Linked DNA regions of Notamacropus eugenii. The protein of the gene in region 1 interacts with the protein of each later gene in a biochemical or structural test. Links are inferred from orthologs where the notes say so. Each region holds a gene or a part of one and is shown on either strand. Other genes may lie near its edges.

The links.
Region 2: the proteins of USP8 (region 1) and STAM2 form a complex in vitro, tested with the Homo sapiens proteins (3 studies listed by BioGRID, with this or other methods). The link is inferred for Notamacropus eugenii from reciprocal best matches to the Homo sapiens genes USP8 and STAM2.

The regions. Positions count from the first base shown.
Region 1 is NC_092878.1:2,605,285-2,615,225, reverse strand, and holds the start of USP8 (ubiquitin carboxyl-terminal hydrolase 8), read left to right. Parts: upstream 1-4,452; 5' UTR 4,453-4,613; intron 4,614-9,941. UniProt on the Homo sapiens protein: Hydrolase that can remove conjugated ubiquitin from proteins and therefore plays an important regulatory role at the level of protein turnover by preventing degradation. Converts both 'Lys-48' an 'Lys-63'-linked ubiquitin chains.
Region 2 is NC_092876.1:209,397,617-209,407,557, reverse strand, and holds the start of STAM2 (signal transducing adapter molecule 2), read left to right. Parts: upstream 1-3,257; 5' UTR 3,258-3,348; coding exon 3,349-3,388; intron 3,389-3,581; exon of another isoform or gene 3,582-3,688; intron 3,689-3,782; exon of another isoform or gene 3,783-3,969; intron 3,970-9,941.

The DNA.
Region 1 (9,941 bases):
CCCTATCAGTGAGAGCAATCTTCCTTACCATGCTAATAGATTGCTTTGTTTTCAGGTTGGCCTCCTATCTTTGACCTACAGTCACTGGACACTCTCCAAAGGGTATGCTTCTCTCAAGAAATCCTATTCCTCTTGGTCAAGAGCATACCGACAAAATCAAATTCTTGAAGTTTTGAAGTATGAGAAAATAGGTGGGTAGGAGAGAAGATGTTACCAGAGGTCACAAGTGCCTTAGTAAAAATACTCTTCCAATATCTCAAAAGGTCTGTTATTTCAATAATTTAGACACTGCCGCCAGAGTTTAGACTACAGCCCCTCCATGTCTTCCAATCCTGTGTAATCCTATCCACATTCTGCTACGTATTTTTCACTGGGGAATGTCCTTGAGCACCAATGTGCTTGAGACCTTCTCTAGTTCTTTTAACATTTGTAGATGTCAGCCAGATGTAAATTGCCAGAGTCTAAATGCTCATCCTAAAAATTTAACAATCAGCTCTCTTAAGTCAGTTCAGTCTGGCTCCAGTTGACACATTCCTGATACCAGTATAGCACCTGGACTCTTCATCTGTTATAATACTAATAATAACAACTGATATCTACATAGACTTTTACAATTTGCAAAGTGTGGTACATACAGTATATCTCTTTTTATAATTCCTTCCTATAATATCCTCCTTTTATAATTCAGTAATGAAGAATTGATAATGTACTATGAGCCTAGCTTTCATCATAAAATAAATGCATGTGAATCATTTCTTGGATAACATCCTTAAATACATTTCTCAATGGTTCATCAGAGTTAAGAGTTATTGGATTGGTCACTGCATGTGCCGCGCAGGGTGATGTTTGAACATCCAAACTGAAGTCATGGTCAAATTCAGGCTTATCACTGGCAGATATCTTCTATTTAGATACAATGGTCTAAATAAAGACAGTGTGAAATTCACTAAGAAGTAGTGTTCCAAAAGGTCATTTATACTTTTCCCCATGGAAATAATATGGTAAGTGCTAGTTGATTTTCAGGCCAATCCACAAAAGTCTATTCAACCCAATCCATCATCTGTCCAGCTGAAGTCCAGGACCACAGCAACATTTTCAACAAGGTTATAAAAAAGAGAATTCCAACATGGAGTGTCAATGTCGCATCTAAAGCACAGTCCTTTCAGGTGGATCATTCACAAAAATTACCCAAGTTTGAAGATACTCTCTGTGTCAACATTCAGTCAAAACCATAGTTCATAAGTTTTATATCTGGCCAGTCTCAACTCCTTTCCATCTAGCCATCCCATCAGACTGAGTTGGGTTGCCTTTCCAACTGCCCTACCAACCTCTCCTCTTCATCAGTATCCATTGAGATCTCCAGAAATCCCTTCTGATACTTCAAGGGAGGGAGTTAATCCACTCACCCACCTTGGGGAAAGGCTACACTTGTGATTTATAAAGTGAGTAAATGAAACCTATCAGAGCCATCCATATTTGGCCTGCCCCAGCGTGAATATCATGCCATTCAACTATCCCATCGGGAATCAGTGTCTAGCCAGTTTGATCATCTTGCCAACTACCCTGATACATTTGTATACCCCTTCTCTCCCCTCTTCTAGCTTTTTGTCAGGGAATCATCTAGTCAACATTACTCTTGCTACTAGGAAAGTCATGACAATCTAATGCCCTATTACTCTATGCTCCACCCAGAATTCCTATGATTCTGAATCACAGAACAAGTAGACCAGATCTCCCTTCCCTGGCCACCATTTCTCACTCATCCATATCATCTCTGTGTTTTCTGGATCCCTATCCAACTCTACCCTTCCACTGTATCTGTCTTTGCACAAGCACACCTGGAATATTCCCATACCTGGAATATTCTCCTTCTTTGTCTCTGCCTTTTGGAATCAGCAACTTCCTTCGAGCCTTAATCAAATGTGCAAGTCATGTCATCATTTCTCTGATGGCATGCTCTTCTTCAGCACGAAGGACGAATGCGATCCTGTGAGTAGATGCAGTTGACTGAATACTAGCTGGGTACCTCACCCCCTCCTCTCCTGTCTGCCTCTCCCTCCCCTTCCTTCTCCTCTCCAAAGGAAGGTAAATTTGGATGGTCAAAAGTTGCCCAGTTAACCTGGGTTTTACTGCCTCTTTCCTTTCTCCTCTCCTCTCCCCTCCCGTCTCCTTTCCCCTGTCCTGTCCCCTGTCCTCTCCCAATACCTTAAACCTACTACACTCTGGAACTGCGACTCCAAGGGGCCCCTGTCAAGGGCTCTTGGACACCTCCCCCCCCAGCTTTAGAGTGATTATCAATAGTAACTATTGCTGTTTCCCACCCAGCCTGATGTCTTTGTTTTTCTTGACCCCTTTAAAGGGGCCATGCCCTGGCTGCTTCTTAAACAGTCCTATTCAATGAATGGGTGTTGCCTCACCCTATATGAGTACCTGCAAACACCTTGGCCTAAAGGGCCACTCCCACTGCATCCTGGGTCATCTCCAGTCATCCTGATAAATATCAGGTCACTGGATTCAGATGGCTCTAGAGGAGAAGTGAAGCTGGTGACCTGCACAGCCCTCCCTCACTCAAAACAAAGTCAAGTGCAAGTCACATCATCATTTTTCTGATGGCATGGTCTTCTTCGGCAACAAAGTACGAACATGATGATCTTCTGTTTGACTAGTAGAAGGGAACATCACTAAATAGTCATGAATCAGTCCGTAAGCATTTATTAAGCACCTGTTATGTGCCCAACTCTGTGCTAGACACTTGGGAGTACTGACGTAAACCAAGTTTCTTCCCACTAGGAGTTTACATTCTATTGGAAGAAAATAACATGTGTACATGATAAATAAATGTAACATGTAGGAAATAATTTCTGGGGAGAGGCCATGAATCTCCTAAGTTTCATAAGGGAAAATTTAACAGTAGAACATGAGTTTCAGAGGGAAAAATGGGAGGTAAGGAAGAGTAGGAAAGAGACACTGGAGAGAGGGAATGCGATCTGGATGGTTAGGGCAGAGCATTCCAGCAGCAGGCTGTCTTGTCCTTCATGTGGGCAAAGGTAATACTGATTAATTATCAGTCCTTGAGAAAGAAAAGGAAAAGGGAAAAGTGGGGGAAGGATGCGTAAACATCAGGGGAAACGGTCAAAGTACGAATTGGTGAAATCCTGGGGCCAGAAGGCTTATAGAGGGGAGACAGTGGGAAAAGCCTAGAATTCAGAGTCAGAAGAGCCAGGTTCAGATTCTAGCCCTGCCACTTAGGACTCATGTGGCCTTGGATCAGTCATTTAAGTTCTCAGGCTTCAGTTTCCTCCCCCGCAAAATAAAGGGAGTTGGACTAGACCGTGGCCTCCAAGTCTTCTTCCCTCTCCAAATCTATCATCGTGCGACTCCAAGATTCCATATGCGAGCTACTGCCCCACATCCAAGTGAGGTCAGCTCAGGACTTACTCCAGCATTGGATACATTGTATCCTTTGTTTCTGGAAGGCGTCCAGCTCCTCGTTTGAGCTACTTCTCTCACGCACTTGGAGCCTAGCTCCCCTCAACCTGCTGACCCTTAAGGGAAGGGGGGCATCACGTTGGGATCCAGGGCAGACCCAGGACAAGTCCGACCTCCCAGAGCGCAGAGCAGGTGACGTCACCGCGCTGCCTGGCCCTGGACCTGCCCCGTTCTGGGCCTGACTCTCCCGGCTGGACAGTCAGGAAGACTGGACAACTGACTGAATGTTTGGGTGCGGGAGGGAGAAGTCCATCTAGGGGGTGCCAAGGCGAGGGCTGAGAAAAAGCTTCCTAACCCGGAACCCCCTTTCCTCTGGACCCTGTAGGGGCTTCTGGGAGAGTGTCCCCACAGCTGGCCGGCCAGGCTCCGAACCTGCAGCCTCGCAGGAAGGCTCGGCCCCGGCTCCGCCAGGCTCACACATCAGTCACGCGGTCCAGGCCAGGTCAGCCGCGGGCGAGCCGCCGTCCAGTCCGCCGGTTCCACTTTTCAGAATATTTGAACAATTAATTTTGTTTAAAAGGAAGGCAATCAGCCCAGTGCGGAGCGCTGTGCCCATGCCGGTGACTTACGCCCGCCAGGAAAGGCGAGACTTCTGAGCTGAACCGGGCCCGGCTTCCCTCCCTGAGCCGAGCACGCGGCCGGAGGACTGGCTTCGTGCGGGTTATTTTTTCTTCCATAATGAGCGGGGTGGAAGGGTCTTTCTTACGGGACTAACCAAAAAGAAAAAAAAACTCGGGGCCGCGGGGGAGGGGGACGCGCACTGACGTCATTGGGGCCAGCTCGCCCCCGAAGCGCGCGTGCCCTGGACGGCGCGCACGCGCCTGCGTGGGGGCGGGGGGATGGGGGAGGCGCGCCCTCGGTGGCCCGGCTCTCCTGCGGTCCTCCGGCCTCCCCCTACCGGATCCTCTCCCAGCCCTGGGCGGGGACTAGGGCCCAAGGGCGAGCCCCGCCCCTCAGGATGACGTTTCGCGCCGCGCCGCGCCGCGGTGCAGTTTGGGAAAAAGGGGACGGGCCGGGCTCGCTTCCGCCTGGACGGCGATGGCTGATTCCGCGGGTTCCCGGGAGAAGGGCCTTTGGCGAACGAAGAGGCGCTGGTGAAGCGTGGCCTCCCTCCCCACCCCACGGTAAGCGCGGGGCGAGGCCCGGCCGGGCTGCCATGACGGACGTCCACCGGGCCCGGACCCCCACCCCCGGCGCGGACCGGGAGGCAGGAGGGCGGGGCGGGGGCGCCTCGGAGCCGGGACCGGCTGGGGGGAGGTCCGGCGGCGTCCCGGGGCCTTTCCCGCGGCCAGGGCCTCGGGTGCGCGGGGCGGAGACGGCCCGCCTCCTTGGGCCTGGCCCCTCCAGGCTCCGCTCTCAGGTGTGCGGTGGGGGGGGGCCCTCTGGCCCCGGAGTCAGTTAAGGTCGCCCCTCTCGTGGGTCGCCCCCAGCCCCTGCGATGTAGGAGGGAAGCTGCGGAGCCGGAGTCCGGACGGGAGCTCATTCTCTGACCTTGAACACAAGGCGTCCGTCTGCCTCCGCCGGGCCGAAAGCCGCTACCTGAGCCCAGGTCTGCGGGCCCCTCAGCTTGGCGAGGGCAGCCTTTTAAGGGTGCCCAGGACGGCGGCTGAGTCAGTCTAAGGTACCTTGTTTCACGTAGGTCCTCGGGGATGGGTGAAATTGGGAATATTTTGTTCAGAAGTAGGTGATGTCAGGTCTCGGTAACAATCTCTGGAAATGCGCTTGAATTAACGTTGCCAAATTTAATAAGGTCTCCTTACTATGGAAAGAAAAAGCTTTAAGATAATTTTATATTGCTAGTTTTGTAAGGGATAACAAGACTATAGAATGGGATCATATTGTAAGGATGTTATCTTGAACATCATTACCCAAATGATAAGTATGGACTTGACATTGGAAGATAAAGCTCAGCTGTCACTTCAGAGAAGCTTTATATTTACCACATTTTTTCCCACAAAATTGTGCAAGCTTTGTGCTACGTTATAATTTTCTTAATGTGAGAAATACCAGAAGTTGTGTAGAAGCAAACAAACCATGCATTGAAATGTGAAAAGGCATTACTATTAAAATTATGAACTAAGGGAACACATTTCAATGTCTGGATTTGGCTGAAGAGCATTTTATGGGATTCATCTTTTTTTGTGTGTTTAGATGCAGAGCAAAATGTAGTTAAAATTTCTTAACCATAATTTTAGTTGGATGTTAGTGAATGATAATATAAGTTATTCCATGCTACCCTAACAACATTAATGAAAATTGGGTGATGTAAGGAGATAGAACTGTTTCTTAGCTTTAAATTCCTTAAGTTTCTTAACTTTTATTTCCTTAACACAAAGGAGACCCAATAGAGATTTAGTTTTATCCTTTTCCAGAGATCTTATCATTTATGTTAGCTGTAGTGTGTCTCATTTCAATTTTCAATTTTGAGATAATCTAGTCACATCAGAAGTTAAGTAGTGTTACTGAATAAATAGTTTTATGTCTAAGATTATTGCCATAAAAAAGAACATTCTGATGATGGTGGCTTATGTAGTCTACTTTCTAACTGGACATTTTGTGTACAGGATGCATACACAATACTTTTTCTAATTTCCATCCACTGGGTAACTATTGTCAACTCTCAATTTAACCTCGGGCATTATAGACAGCATATTCTACAGCTAATTTGCAAATTACTATTTATCACTTGAAAAAGCTAAGCTTTCTAATAGCTTTAGTGAAAGGAATGGGTCATAATATACATAATGAGGATCAGTTTCAAAGCAGGTTAAAACTTTAAGTTTAATGACAAATGAATCCTTTTCAAAAAGTTGTATAAACCGAATCTTAGTGTATTCTTTTAAATCTTTTTTATTTGGTGGACTTTAGAAAGAATGTGTTTCCTCACTGCAATAAAATTTTTGGTAGAAAAGGAATTATGACTCACTTAATACATTTGATAAGTTTAAAACAGCCCTGAAGTAGTGGATAGAAAGCTAGACTGAGTCAGAAAAAAAACCTGGGTTCAAGCCCTGCTTCTGTTTGTGTCTTTGAGCAAATTACTTAATCTCTCCATGCCCCAGGTAGCTCTGTAAATAATATGTTTAGCAGGTGCTGATCTGCATCAGTGATGAGAGTTTGCTCACGTGGAATCATAAAAAGGAATGAAATCACAGATTCCCCTCCTCCCATTATGCTTAAGTATCTTATTTGCAAGTTAGTCAAATTATCAACTCTTAACTATTATAACTATTATTAACTCTTTGCCACCTTCATGTTCCTTTGCTTCTTCCTGTATGTGTTCCTTTAGCACCTTTAAAGTACTTCAAAAAATTGAGTCACATTGCTTACTTAGTCATTGTTGAAAGCTGTCTCCTGAGTAAATGAACAACTGCCCAGCACTTTTGAACAGAGGTCATGTGAACAGACCCCTGTACTTGAAACCAACAGTTCTTTTTTTATTTCTAGTCATAGTTCCGCATTATAGACATGAGGTGCTGACCAGTTTATGCTTTCATGACACAGACACCAAGACTGAACATTTTACACTTTTTGTATGTTAAGGCCATTACATAATTTTTTAAAAGTCCACCAAACTATGAAGATTGTTTAAAAAAAAAAAGTGGGGCTACACCAGGTGGTTTTATCCACCCATTCTCTTTTTAATCTAGCTTAGGTCCTTTCCATGGTAGTGACATCAAAGTTGATGATGGCCTCCTTAGGGAATATAGTAACCTTTTCTCAGCTCTCCTACTCTTTGACTTCACTGTAGTATTTGACTACCCCCCTCCTTGCAATTCTTTCTTCTCTTAGCTTCTGTAACACTATACTTCTTCCTGCTTTTCTGATTATTCTGAGGCCTGTACTTACTGCTCCTTTTTTTTCCCCCTTCCTCATAATTGGAGTTAGCTCCCAAGATCTGTCCCATTTCTCTCCCCTCTCTCTCTCTTCCTCTTCCCCCCTCTCTCTCTCCCGCTCCCTTTTTCCTCCTATTTTGAGGGTGGGGGGAGCAGCTTGAAAAGCACCCTCAAGTCAACTTTGTAATTCATTAAGACAAATTTAGGAGGGAGAATTAGTTACTGTAATGTCTTAGAGAGGGTTGTTACTAACAGGATCCCCTACAGTGATGTGGTAGCTTCCTATTTTAATTATTCTTGTTAACTAGGTGCAAAACTCTCTTGTTTCTAGCTTCTAGTTGTTGCAGAAATGTTAAGTTCTGTGACCTTTAAGTTCATTTGCTTTGGAAAAAAATCTTTGGGAGCCCTTCTTAGTTAAAGGCTTTTTGTTTAGAGACTAATAATCTCAGAGCTTCAGCCCCTATGCAAGTGACCAGCAAATCTGCATCTCCAGTCCATACCTTGCCTGTGTTTCCATCTTCTACAGACCTCTACTTGAATATCTCCCCATTACATCACACTCAGTATGTCCACAAAAAGCTTATTGTATCAGACACTCCGTAGCCTTTCCCACCTCTGTTCCTGCAATGATTCCATCTACCTGGGACATATCCTTTCAAGTCCTGAAATCTGCTCATCCTTCAAAGCCTGTTAGATCATCCATGAACTTTTCTTTCTGTGGCCCCCTTCTTTCTGCTAGGTATTCTCTTTATCTCTGCTGCGGCAGCAGTTCCTTTTGGTCTGGTATTGTAATTATTTGTACATATCCCCACCCAGTCCAACTAGGTTATAAGCTTCTTGGGGGCAGAAACTACCTTTTCCTTATTCCTGCCTGCACCTTGCTCTCCATAGAAATCATATAAATACATACCAGATTGATTAGCATGTGATTCCCCCTTAAGGACAGAGCCAATCAATAATGCATCATTACTTTGCATCATACATCCTATAGTGCCAGTCAGTCTTGTTTTCTCACTGCTTCTCATATGTGTTATTCATTTCCAATGCCTTTGCTCATCATGTTTCTTTTGTTTTTGGAATGCATTCTTTGCATACCTTAAAGACTATTTTCAAGTCTCTCTTCAGTGTCATTAGACATTTGAATAACTGCTAGTATGTATAGCACTGGGAAGTCAAAAGAAATGTGAAACATAGTTCTTGCTACCAAATGGTATACAATTTAGGAAAGACAGTATAAGGAAGGCAAGTAGATGAAGTGAATGGTGTGAGAAATAAGTATTTAAGTAATCCAAATGAGGGGATAAATACCATAAGAGATGCTGCTCTCAGGAAAGTAATAGAGAGAAGGTTGATCTTGAAATTATCCTCAAAGAGGATATTAAACTATTAAAGTTCTCAGAAAAAGAGAAGAGACCTGGGGGCTGGGGGAGGGGGAGGTGGATGGCTGAAATATGTACGGAAAAGGGCTGGGGATGGTAAGGGAATGAAGCTGCCTCTTACTATTCCAGCCCACACTGATGTCTGCTTTGCCTGAATTCTTGTTCCTGCTTTGATTAGGAACTGTGCAGCAAAACACATCATTATTCTCACTGTATGTTAGTTTGGTTTTAAATGGATTTGAAGTTTCCTGAGGACTTTATCATATATCTCTATCTGTCAGAGGAGCTGGCACATAGCCTGTATTCAAGAAGGCTTTCCACTCTGACGTTCTTGAGATCATCATACTTCGTTTATACCTTAATAAGAATAACTATTCATTTAGAAAACTTCAGTGTTTAGGGCAAAGTTTTATCCTTAGGGATTGAATGTACAAATATGAATATAGTATAGTAGTTTATAGTCTAGTGGGGATTATCATTTAACAAGACTTGAAATGAGAAATTTTTATGGGGTTGGGAAGGAAACTTGGGGACTTTGGACAGCTAAAGTGTAGGAAGAATGCACAGGGTATCTGGGAGGGTAGGAAGAAGAGTCAAGAGGGTAAGAAAGAAAATTTTACCTTCTTCCGAAGTTTTGACTAGGACCTGGGCAATAATGTATATCAGAATTAAAGTTTCATAAAGTTAGGCAGCCAGGTGGCACAGCTGATAGAATGCAGGGCCTGGGGAGAGAAAAACCTGAGTTCAAATGCAGCCTCAGCCACTTACCAGCTGTGTGATCCTGGGTGAGTTAATCTCTACTTTAATTTCCTCATCCATAAAAGGGAGAAAATAATAGCACTTACCTCTTAGGGTTGTAGTGTGTACCAAATGAGATAATGATTGTAAAGCACTTAGCACCATACTTGGCACATAGTAAACACTATTTAAATGTTAAAAAAAAAATCCAGTTCAGCTTTTTCAGTTGAGTTCTGCATCTTCCTATCTAATTCTCTACTCTTCTACTAGAAGAAAAGGAAATGAATGGAGATTCTTTACTATGCATTGAGTATTGAGAGGTAGCATGGTATAATGGAAAGGGTATTAGATGTGAATTCAGGAGAAAAGTGTGGGAGTACATGCCTATAATCCCTACTGCTAAAGAATCAGGGCTTGGCAGAATAGTTACAGTGTCCACACTAAGTTCAGCATTAATATGGTGAGCTCCTAGGAGTTCAGGAGCACCATGTTGTCTAAG
Region 2 (9,941 bases), on another chromosome or scaffold:
TATAGTTCCAGAAAGGTTCTACCTGATGCCTTCTCAAATTGTGGAGGTGATCCTGGGTTCCTAGAGGCCATGCCATGACAGCCCGTATGATTTAGTTATTTTTTCTTTTGTTCATTAAAAAGGCCATTCCCTGACTACTTCTTAAAGAGGCCTATTCACTCAATGGGTGTTACCTCTCTCTAAATGAGCACCTGAAAAGGCAAGCCTAAAAAGGCCAAGGTCTCCCATTATATCCTGGGTCATCTCCAGTCATCCTGATGAATATTTGATCACTGGATCCAGATGGCTCAGGAAGAGAAGTGAGACTGGTGACCTTACATAGCCCTCCTTCACTCAAAGCAAAGTCAAGTGCAAGTTATGTCATCACTTCTCTGATGTCATGATCTTCTTCAAAAACGAAGGACAAACACAGATCTTAGGAGTGTATAGGATTTTAAGGTTTACAAATATTAGAATTTGTGCAGAACTAGGGTGGTTAGTATCAGAGGTAAACCAGTGTATCGATAATACATTTTTGCTTATTGTTAACGTAATTTTGCTTCGTAATGAGAAGATCTTTCCCATCCATTAATAGGCCCATGTGACCTGCTTAAGTCACATGGAAGCCTCAGTCACATGAGTCAAGTCACATGGAACAGGAAGGGGTAAAGTGGAAAGAGTGGGAAAGGAAGAGGCAGAGCTAGAGTAGAGCTAAGAGAAAATTTGGTCAGAGCAGTCAGAGCCAGGAAGGATGGAGGTAAGCAGGCACCTGGCTAGTGTGAGTGAGAGAGCTTGTTCATGATTTGTTTAAAGGAACTAGTTTGTGGGAAACCTAGCAGGGGGGAGGCTTGGGGATGGTATTGTCCTCTGCATTGTTATTGTGTGTAGATTTTTCTTACTATGATGAATTGGACTTTCTGGTGGTCTAAATAAATGTTTTGGTTCTGTCTTCCATGCGGAGATTCTGTTGTATTTTGTGATTCAGAATTGTGCTGGATATTCATGGCCACTGTAGGTGCTGTGAATATCCCATTGGTGCTATAATCAGAAAAAATTTCACTTTAGCTAGCTCCCCATCTTCCAAATGTATGCTGCACCATTTTTTCCCGTTTCCTCCTTAGTGGTCATGATTTTTCCTTAGTCTGCTCTATCTCTCATTCAAGAGTGGGCAAGGTCCTTTGAATTCAATGGGAGAGCCTACTGGCTTCTGAGGAAAACATACTTCACTTCCCTGAGTTTCTTCTTACCAATCTGACTGCTTCCTCTTAGTTTCCTTTGCTGGATCTTTATCCAGATCATGGCCACTAACTGCGGATATTACCCAGGTCTCTGTCCTGGGTCATTTCCTTCCTTTATACTATTTCTCTTGCAAATCTAATCAGCTTCCATGGATTCAAATATTATCTCTACATAGATGATTCTCTCTCTTTCTTCAGACCTAACCTTTCTAACCTCTGTTCTTACATTTCTTGATTGGCCATTGAACATCTTGAACTGGAGGTCCCACAGCCATCTTAGAGTCGACATGTCCCAAAGGAACCCATTCTCTTCTTTTCCCAAACCTTCCCACATTTTTCTCTTTACTGTCAAGGGTACCACCATTCTCACTACAAGGTGAGAAGGTGTCATTTTCAACTCCTCATTCTCCATCCAGACTGTCACCAACCCCTGCTGATTCTAGCTTCTTCTACATGCCCTCTTCCCTTTTCCCTCACTTCACTGCCACAGCTAGATTATGGCAATAACCTTCTGGGTGGTCTCCCTGCCTAAGTCTAGGGATCTTCCTCAAGCGCAGGTCTCAGCAGACCCCTAACAACCCCGAGGTTCACTATGACCTCCTGGATCAAACGTAAAATGCTGCTGCTCCTGACACAGTTCTCCATCTCCCACATGTCCCTGGTGGTTCCTCGGGCCCCTCCCTCCTCCTTTCTGTCCTTTTTCCTTCAAGTCTCAGCTAAAATCCCACCTTTTATAAGAAGTCTTCCCCGGTGTTCCTTAATACCAACGTCTTCTTTCAGTGATTCCGATTGATCCTGCATCTAGCTTGTTTGTACGTAACTGTGCATGTGGTCTCCCCCAGTATTCCGTGTCTCCCCCAAAAGCTCCTTTGCTTTTCTCTGCATGCCCAGTGCCCGCGTGGCTTCATAAGAAAGCTTTAATCATGAATTCATTGGTCAGCGGCCTCCGACGGTCCCATCCCGGCCGCTGAAAGCGGAGGCAGCTCCAGGGCTTGGGGCCCCATCACCTTCGCTGCCCCTCGAGGTCACCTTCCCAGTGTCTAGACTCGCCCTGCAACATGCCTGCTGGAGCGCCTTTCTCTTTACGGACTGCCACCGAAATCCCCTGCTCGGCGTTTGTTCCTTCTTCTCCCTTTAAATACCAGAACAATCAGCACTCCCCCTCAAAACCTGCCGCAGCCGGCGGAACCTCCCCGCTCAGGGCGTGCGGAGCGCCCAGACAAACAGTCCTGGACTACATTTCCCACAAGCCTTCTCGGCAAGTCCTGGAAGATACACCTCTAGCCTGGAGAAGTTCGATCCCAAACCAGCCGGGTACACCTACCTATCGCTTTTCTCTCGACCCTGCAAATTAAGTGGTATTCCATTATTTCACGGGGGAAGAACCGGAGACTTCAAAATATTAACATATCACACAGTGAGTCAAATGTTAACACCATGATTTGAACCTAGGTCTCATTAGTCCACAGCTCTTCCCACTACATCCATCACGCCGGGAAAACCACGACTGGAGATCACCCCCATTTCCAGAGAACCCAGGGCCTACGGAGGAGGCTGAGTAATAATGAAATGCTGGGCTGTGTTGTTTTATGCGCTTAAGGACTGCTGCTTCCCTGGAAGGTTGCCGGGAAGGCGCAGGACCCTTGTGGAAAAGCCTGGGCACGGGCGCCCCCTGCTGCCACCCATCGGCCTTTGTGCCGGACTCTAGCCAACCTGACGCTCAGCTTCCAGGCTCCTGTCACAACTTCCGGTCCTCGAAGGTCCCTATTCCGGAAGGGGTCCTCGAGATCGGAAGGTGGTTGGAGCTAACGCCTGAAGGCCGCGTGACACTGGAGTTCAGGTAGTTGCCCTCCTTTGGGCCTGCTTAGGGAAAAGGAAGCGGAGAAGAACGCTGACAGCCTCTCTGAGTATAGCCAAGGGAAGGCATAGCTCAGGAGGCTCGGGAGGAGGTCTCGGCCCCTTGGACTCAGGCACGAGCAGGGGCAGCTGCATTTGCGGAAGTGCTGAGGCTGGGCCGGAGGACCGTCCAGGAAGCGGCGGCCGCTGGGTCGAGGAGAGGGGTTAGGAATTGTCGCCGCCGCCACTGCCGCCCTTATCGCGCCTCACCTGGAGCGGACCGGGTTGCGGCAAGATGCCTTTGTTTACGCCTAATCCTTTTGAGCAGGATGTTGGTGAGTTGCCGGGCCAGGCCGTGGGCCACAAGGGCTGTTCCCCCGGAGACGCGGCCGGGGTGAGCAGGGGCGGCGGCGGCGTCTCTTTGGGCCGCTTCTTGGCTGCCCTTCCTCTCCCTGGGGGTGGGGCACTATCCTAGACAACCCCTGGGGGGCCAGCCTGGCCCCCTCGGGCGTGGAGTGGAAGCTCCTCTGCTGCCTTTCCCTGTGCCCTGACCCGGGTCCACAGCAGCGAGAACCACGTTGTCTCTAGAATATCGTGGAGAGGCGACGAAGGAGCAGACCCCTGACCGTCCCAGGGTAGGGGGTCCGTCGGGTCTGGAGACCTTCAGTCTTCTCCGGAGTGTGGGTTTTAATAGAATGCATCTGGGGGGTGGGGGGGGGAACTGGAGCTAGACTGTTCTTACATATTCGTGGAACAGCCAAAAAAAACATGAAGTATTTATCTGGACCTTGAGGAATTCCTGACACGAGACACTTGCTCTCCCAGTCCCCCGATGACTGGGATGCTCTCTCCTCATCTCTGCCCCGGCTTCCTTCAAACCTCTCCTGTAACATCTCGCATTCAGGATCTCCTCAGTGTACGTGTCTTTGGTATCCGAAATTCATCCTCTGTACTGGATCTCGTTCATACGAAGTTTGCACGTCGTCTCTCGAAGGCAGAGCTTGATTTGTTGTTCTTTACTTTCTTTGTGTCCCTGCCGCTTATCACAGTGGCATGTAGTAGGAGCTTAATAAATGCTGGTTGATTGGATGACTAAAAACTACATAATAGAATATCCCCCAAAGTGACTGAAAGCATGCCTGAGCCGCGTAGAATTTCATAATTATGTATTTGTTTTAGTAATTAAGATTTTCTTCTTTGAAAACCAAATAATTGTTTATAGCTCGTCAGAGTCGTGAACGTTTACGCTGCTTGTGAGTTTATTTTGCGGCTCTTTCAAGTTATCTGTTCTCAGCCATTGCAACAATCCTGTGACATAGGTAGGATGTTGCAAATGAGTAAGAGGGGTGTAGAGGTTCAGTGACTCATCCGGTGTCATCCAGCTGGTTTGTGGTTGCAACAGATTTCCTGACCTCAATCAGCCCCTCTTATTAATTAGTTATTAATTAATAATTAAGCCCGCCTTACGGGTGTAATGAAAGGAAAGCCAGATTTAGTCAGAGGACCCCAAATATGGAGTCTGGGGCTTACTACTTTGTGACTTTGGGCAAGTCACTCTTTCTTTCTAGTTCTCTGGGAAAGTTCCTTATTCTTTCTGAGCTTTACTTTCTTCATCTGTAAAGCCGGAGGTGGCCTCTTCCAGTTCTGATCTCTGATCCTACGTGCAAAGCACTGTGACAGCACTTGTGACAGCAGAAATGGAAAAGCAGCACATCCCCTGCCCTCAAGGAACTTTCAAGGGAAATAGGTACACAAAGTGAATCAGAATAGAATGTGGTAAAGCAGGTTGAGATACTAAGAAATCTGAGAAAGATCACTTCATAGAAATGGGGACACCTTTGGTGGACTTTAAAGACTGAGAATAATTTCTCAGGTGGAATTGTGGTAGGAGGAATTTCTGAACAAGGGGAAGAAAATCTACAATATTTGAAAAATGAGAGGAGAGGGCAGGACGAGAGAGATGAGTAATTTGTCTGCCCTTAGGATCTATGAAGTGAAGTAGAATGAGATGGTATCAGAGAATCTAGGTTCTAGTCTCACCTCTGTGCCATCTGTGTGCCCATGGGCATGTCATTAACATCTCTGGGCCTTTTTTTTTCCTTATCAATAAAAGTAAGGAATTGGATTAGAAGGCTTCTGAGTTCAGTAATGTTACAAGACTGGAAAGTTAGAGGAGAATCAGATTTCAAGGAGGGGAAGAGTTGTGAAATATTACACAATCCATAGGCTTTCTTGGTGACTTAGTAGAGAATTGTTTCAGTAGAATGTTGGGGATTGAAGTTTGAGGTAAGAGGTTGTAAAGAAGCTCAGGCAATGAGGGACCTGGGAGATAGTGATTGCTATAGAGCTTAGTTTGAGGAAATGAGATCTAGCAAAAGGTTTCTTGTTAGTTTTTTCAGTCACCAATTTACTAATGCTTTCTGTGTGCCAGACGCTACTAAAAGCTGGGAATACAAAAACAAGAGTCTGTCCTCAAGGAGCTTACAGCCCTTTGGGGGGAGACTGCACACAAAAAAGAACCTGAAAAGCAGGGAGAGAGAGTGGGAAAGTACCCAACTTTGGGGTCATGTTGGAAAAGTCAGAGAAGTCCTTGAGAAATGCAACCTGGTGAGAAATGAGATGATCTGAGCTGAGCTACTTCCTTAAATGGGGGTCAGGAGTTCATGGCCCCACCCTCCAATCAGAGAAGCTGACATGTATCAGGTAGCATACAAGACTCAGGCCCAGGTCAGGGCTGCTAGGTTGTGGCCCTCTAGGTCCTTAAGTGTGGCCCTTTAATAAAAGAATTTGTTCTGTAAAACTTGGACTCAGTCAAAAGGCCACACCCAAGGACCATATGTGGCTTCAAGGCCACAGGTTCCCCACCCCTATCACAAATGCTTTAATTCAAAAAAAGGGGGAAATAATTACTAATATTGCATATTTCTTATCTAAAGCAATTTGAAAATGTTAAAATTATAATGTAAGCTGGTATTATCTAGGAATGGAGATGAGGATATGAAGTTGATTTCCATGGATGGCATCAGTCTAAAAGGAAGGAGGCAGTGTTATCTTCTTAGAGCCCTGTGTGAAATCTTCTGTACCTGGAGAGTAGGATCAGTGTTTAGTAAGATAAATACATGAAGTTCTGTGTGTCCTTACAAGCATAGAAAAAGATTTGTTTTTGTGGTTATCTTGTCCTCTACATTTTTATTAGTACCTAACTGATTTTTATACTCTACTTCATTTTAATTTAAAACAAATAGGCTCAACAAAGCAGTTGAGATTATCTGGCTTTAAGACTTTTTTCTAGTGTCATCGTTTTAAACCACTTCTCTTTAGTTCGGTTGTATACGGTCTCTCATATTTTCAAATCTTCCTTCAGAAAGTCTTCCCAGGTTAAATATATAGTAATTTGGTAAGTTACATACATAGTATACACCTTCATTGCAACATCTGCTTGTTTTTTAAAATAACAGTAAGTACTAAAGATATTCCTATTTTACAAACATAATGTCTTTAAAGTGCTTTGTAAACATGAAAGCACTATAAAATGTCAGCTGTTATTTCCATTATTCTAGACTGCCATGCTTAAGGATTCTGTATGACTGAAGAAAAATAACTTTGTCATACTTAAAATTCCCAGCAGTTCCCTTTTCCCTTGTTTCTTCTCCCTCTCAGTACATCTGTATCTTATTTTCTCTTCCATTTGTTTTCATTGAGTTTTGTTTGTTTTTGCTCTTCAACTTCCATTTCCCTTCCTTTTCTCCATTCACTCCAGCTAGATAAACTTGCTCCTTTTGCTAAGTGTTTGATAATTACTTATATCCTGACCTTAGTCACCAGCTGTCAATATTTTCTCATGTCAGCAAAATTTAGCTCATATTCTATTTGCAATTCAAAAACCTTGTGCCCAAACAACTGGAGGTTTTATAAACCCGATCACAGCATTTCAGAGGGGAGGGAGGTGCCAAATGTAGAATTTATAAGGCATAACCTTTGACCATTGCTCATATTTTTTGTGGACTAATATGTTGATATTCTGGATGGTTCTTGTTTAATTTGAGTGCTTGAAACAGTGTTATTCCAAAATGGTTAATAACAGTTGTGTGCTGAAAATGATTATTTCATGTCTCCCCCTTATCAGAGAAATTAAACATACACAATCTTCCCCCAAACACCCTAAAAAACATACTGATACCCCCAAATTCTTTAATGACTCCCTTAAGATATTTAGTTTATCTTATCTATTTAGAATTTAATAGAGTACAGACAATACTTATATTATTCCAGTTTTGCTATATGTTATATGTAAAAAATACATAAATTTTTTAAAAATATGAGATAGCTTTTCTTTAACAGAGTTTAAATTCAGAGAGTATGCTCTTCTAGCATAGTCAGATTTGGGGGTGGCAAGAGTAGAACAAAGTAGTATAAATAGAAGATCGTAGCATTCTCATTGGGCTAGATGGAGGACGCTTCAGGACTCCTTTCCTACAATAGCGGAACAAGGCCATAAGCATTCTAGGTAGTAAAATAAATAGATTCTGTTAAAGGAGTGCTAGCCATTATGCTTTGTATTATATAATTCAACAGACTGCATTATTCAATGACTGTTAATCCTAACTTTCTTTTACCTCAATATCAAATGATTACACATGCATAAATTATATCATTCCTCATTCTGAGAGATGTATAGCTTCTCCCAGTTTAGGATCTTTACTTATCTCATTTAGTTTGTTTTATTCCCTCCTTTACTTATAAAATTTTAGTGTTTGTTTATTCACATCACTCGTAGGTAATGCCATTTCAATTTCTCTTTTTTTCCTGCTTCCAAATGTTCACTATTTATTGAATGGCCTGCTGTGTGGAAAAACTCCTGTTATGGCCCTAAGTTTAGCATTAGCAATTCCCTTGATTTTCTACGTTCTTTTGCATCTAGTTTCACTTTGTCCACCTAGAATCTCCAGAATCTTCTTTAGAGTACTTAGCAATATTTTCTAGATGAAAGTAACTTGATGTATTTGTGGAGTACTTTGGGAGGATAATTGGATAGTCTTTTTCCTACAGTATTTTTCTGAAAAAACTTCCATCCATAATTTATTTTTCTTTTGCCATTGCGGTGTGGCCTTTAGCCCATGATACCCAACAACAGAAAGGCCCATTAAAATAGGCCTTACTAAGTTTCAGTTACCCTGAAGCATTCCATTGTAGGGTTTAAATGACCATTAGGATAAGTACCACTTCTATTCCTTATAGACACAGTAAAGCAGAATGTGTTAAAAACTGATGAAAAATTATAAGACATTTTATAAAACATTCCCTCCCACCCCTTACCACTTTATGTACCTTTGTAACATAAAATTGAAAGTTCTTGCTTAGAAAAGTCTGTCAGATAATTAAAAAATCTCTAACATGTTTTTTGGGGAACCATTCTTAATATGAATGTTTGAATTAAACTTTTAAATATTTAAATGTATGTGTTTTTAAATTTTTTTTCTAGAAATTTGGTTAGTTACAACTAAAACTTTCAGTAATTATTGAGTTTGAAACAATTTACTTCTCTCATTTACCACAAGATGAGAAGCACTGAACTAGATAACATCTTTTGTTCTTAACTGTGTTTTAATTGTTTCTAGCTGGCTTGGAGAAGGAGTCAGTCTTTTGCGATATTTTGCTTTCTTACAAGTATTATAAAATTCCAATTTATTTTGTGTGGTAGTGGCCTTATTAGGAGAGTTTAAATTATATTGAATAAAATTGTCTTTAAAATAGATATTTAACCTGAGAAGGTTGGTAGTTATTGACAAAAGGGAAGCCTTCATTATCCCTAGAAAATGTTGCCCCTTGGAAATGGTCATCCACTGTTGCTGGGCAACACAAGTCTTTTCTTGTTCAGCAGGTAAAGCCTACTTGCTCTTTGCTCATATTGCATTTGAGTGACTTCATGGCAGAGGCTGTGTGTGTGTGCACATATCCAGAAAGTCTAATCGCTATTGTATTGGTCATTTCATTTTTCTTGCTAATTCCTTGTTCTTATTTGTTTTTATATCATAGTCGTTTCTGGGAGTTTGGAAGAGGGGAGTCTTTCCTACTCTGCCTCTGGATTGGGTGCTCCCTCTTAGCAGAGATAATTATGCAGATATATACTCAAAACAATGCCAACATCTGACAGTGTCTAACATATCCCCCTTTGTGGCAAGCAAGGAGGTATGTTTGCTTATCTGTTTTTGAAACCACCATTGGTTTTTCAGTTATTCAGAGTCTGGCTTCCCTTTAAATACTTTTTCATTTACATTATTCTTTTGGTTCTGCTTATTGCTTATTTCACTCTGTATCCATTCCGAGAAGTCCTTCCATATGTTTCTGAATTTTTCATAGTTGTAATTTATTATCATACAGCAATATTTCCTTGTATTCTAATACTGTGGTTTTTTTCAGCCATTCCACTGTCATTAGGCATCCACTGTATTTCCAGTTATTTGCTACCACAGTGAATGCTGCTGTGAATATTTTGGTATCTCTTAGACTTTTATTTCTGTCTTTGACTTCACTGGGTATATATGTTCAGTAATAGGATTGATGGGTCAAAGGGTGTGATGATGGTTTAGTCACTTTTCTTGAATAATTCTAATTTGATGTCCAGAATAGTTGGAACAGTTTTCAGCTCCTTAGAGTATACTTTTTAAAGGTATAGTTCTTTTAGAAAAAAAAAAAGGTATAGTTTTGCACATTAACTGTGTGAGTAGTTTTCAAACTTTTTTTTCCCTCGTTAGTGGGTGGGCAGGGGGAAGGATTCTCAAATTTCATCTGTCTGGGGAAATCATGTGCCAGAGCTAGGACTTGATCTCAGGTCATGCTTGCTAAGAGGTAAGCCTTGTAGTCACTACTTCTTGATATTTCTCATGA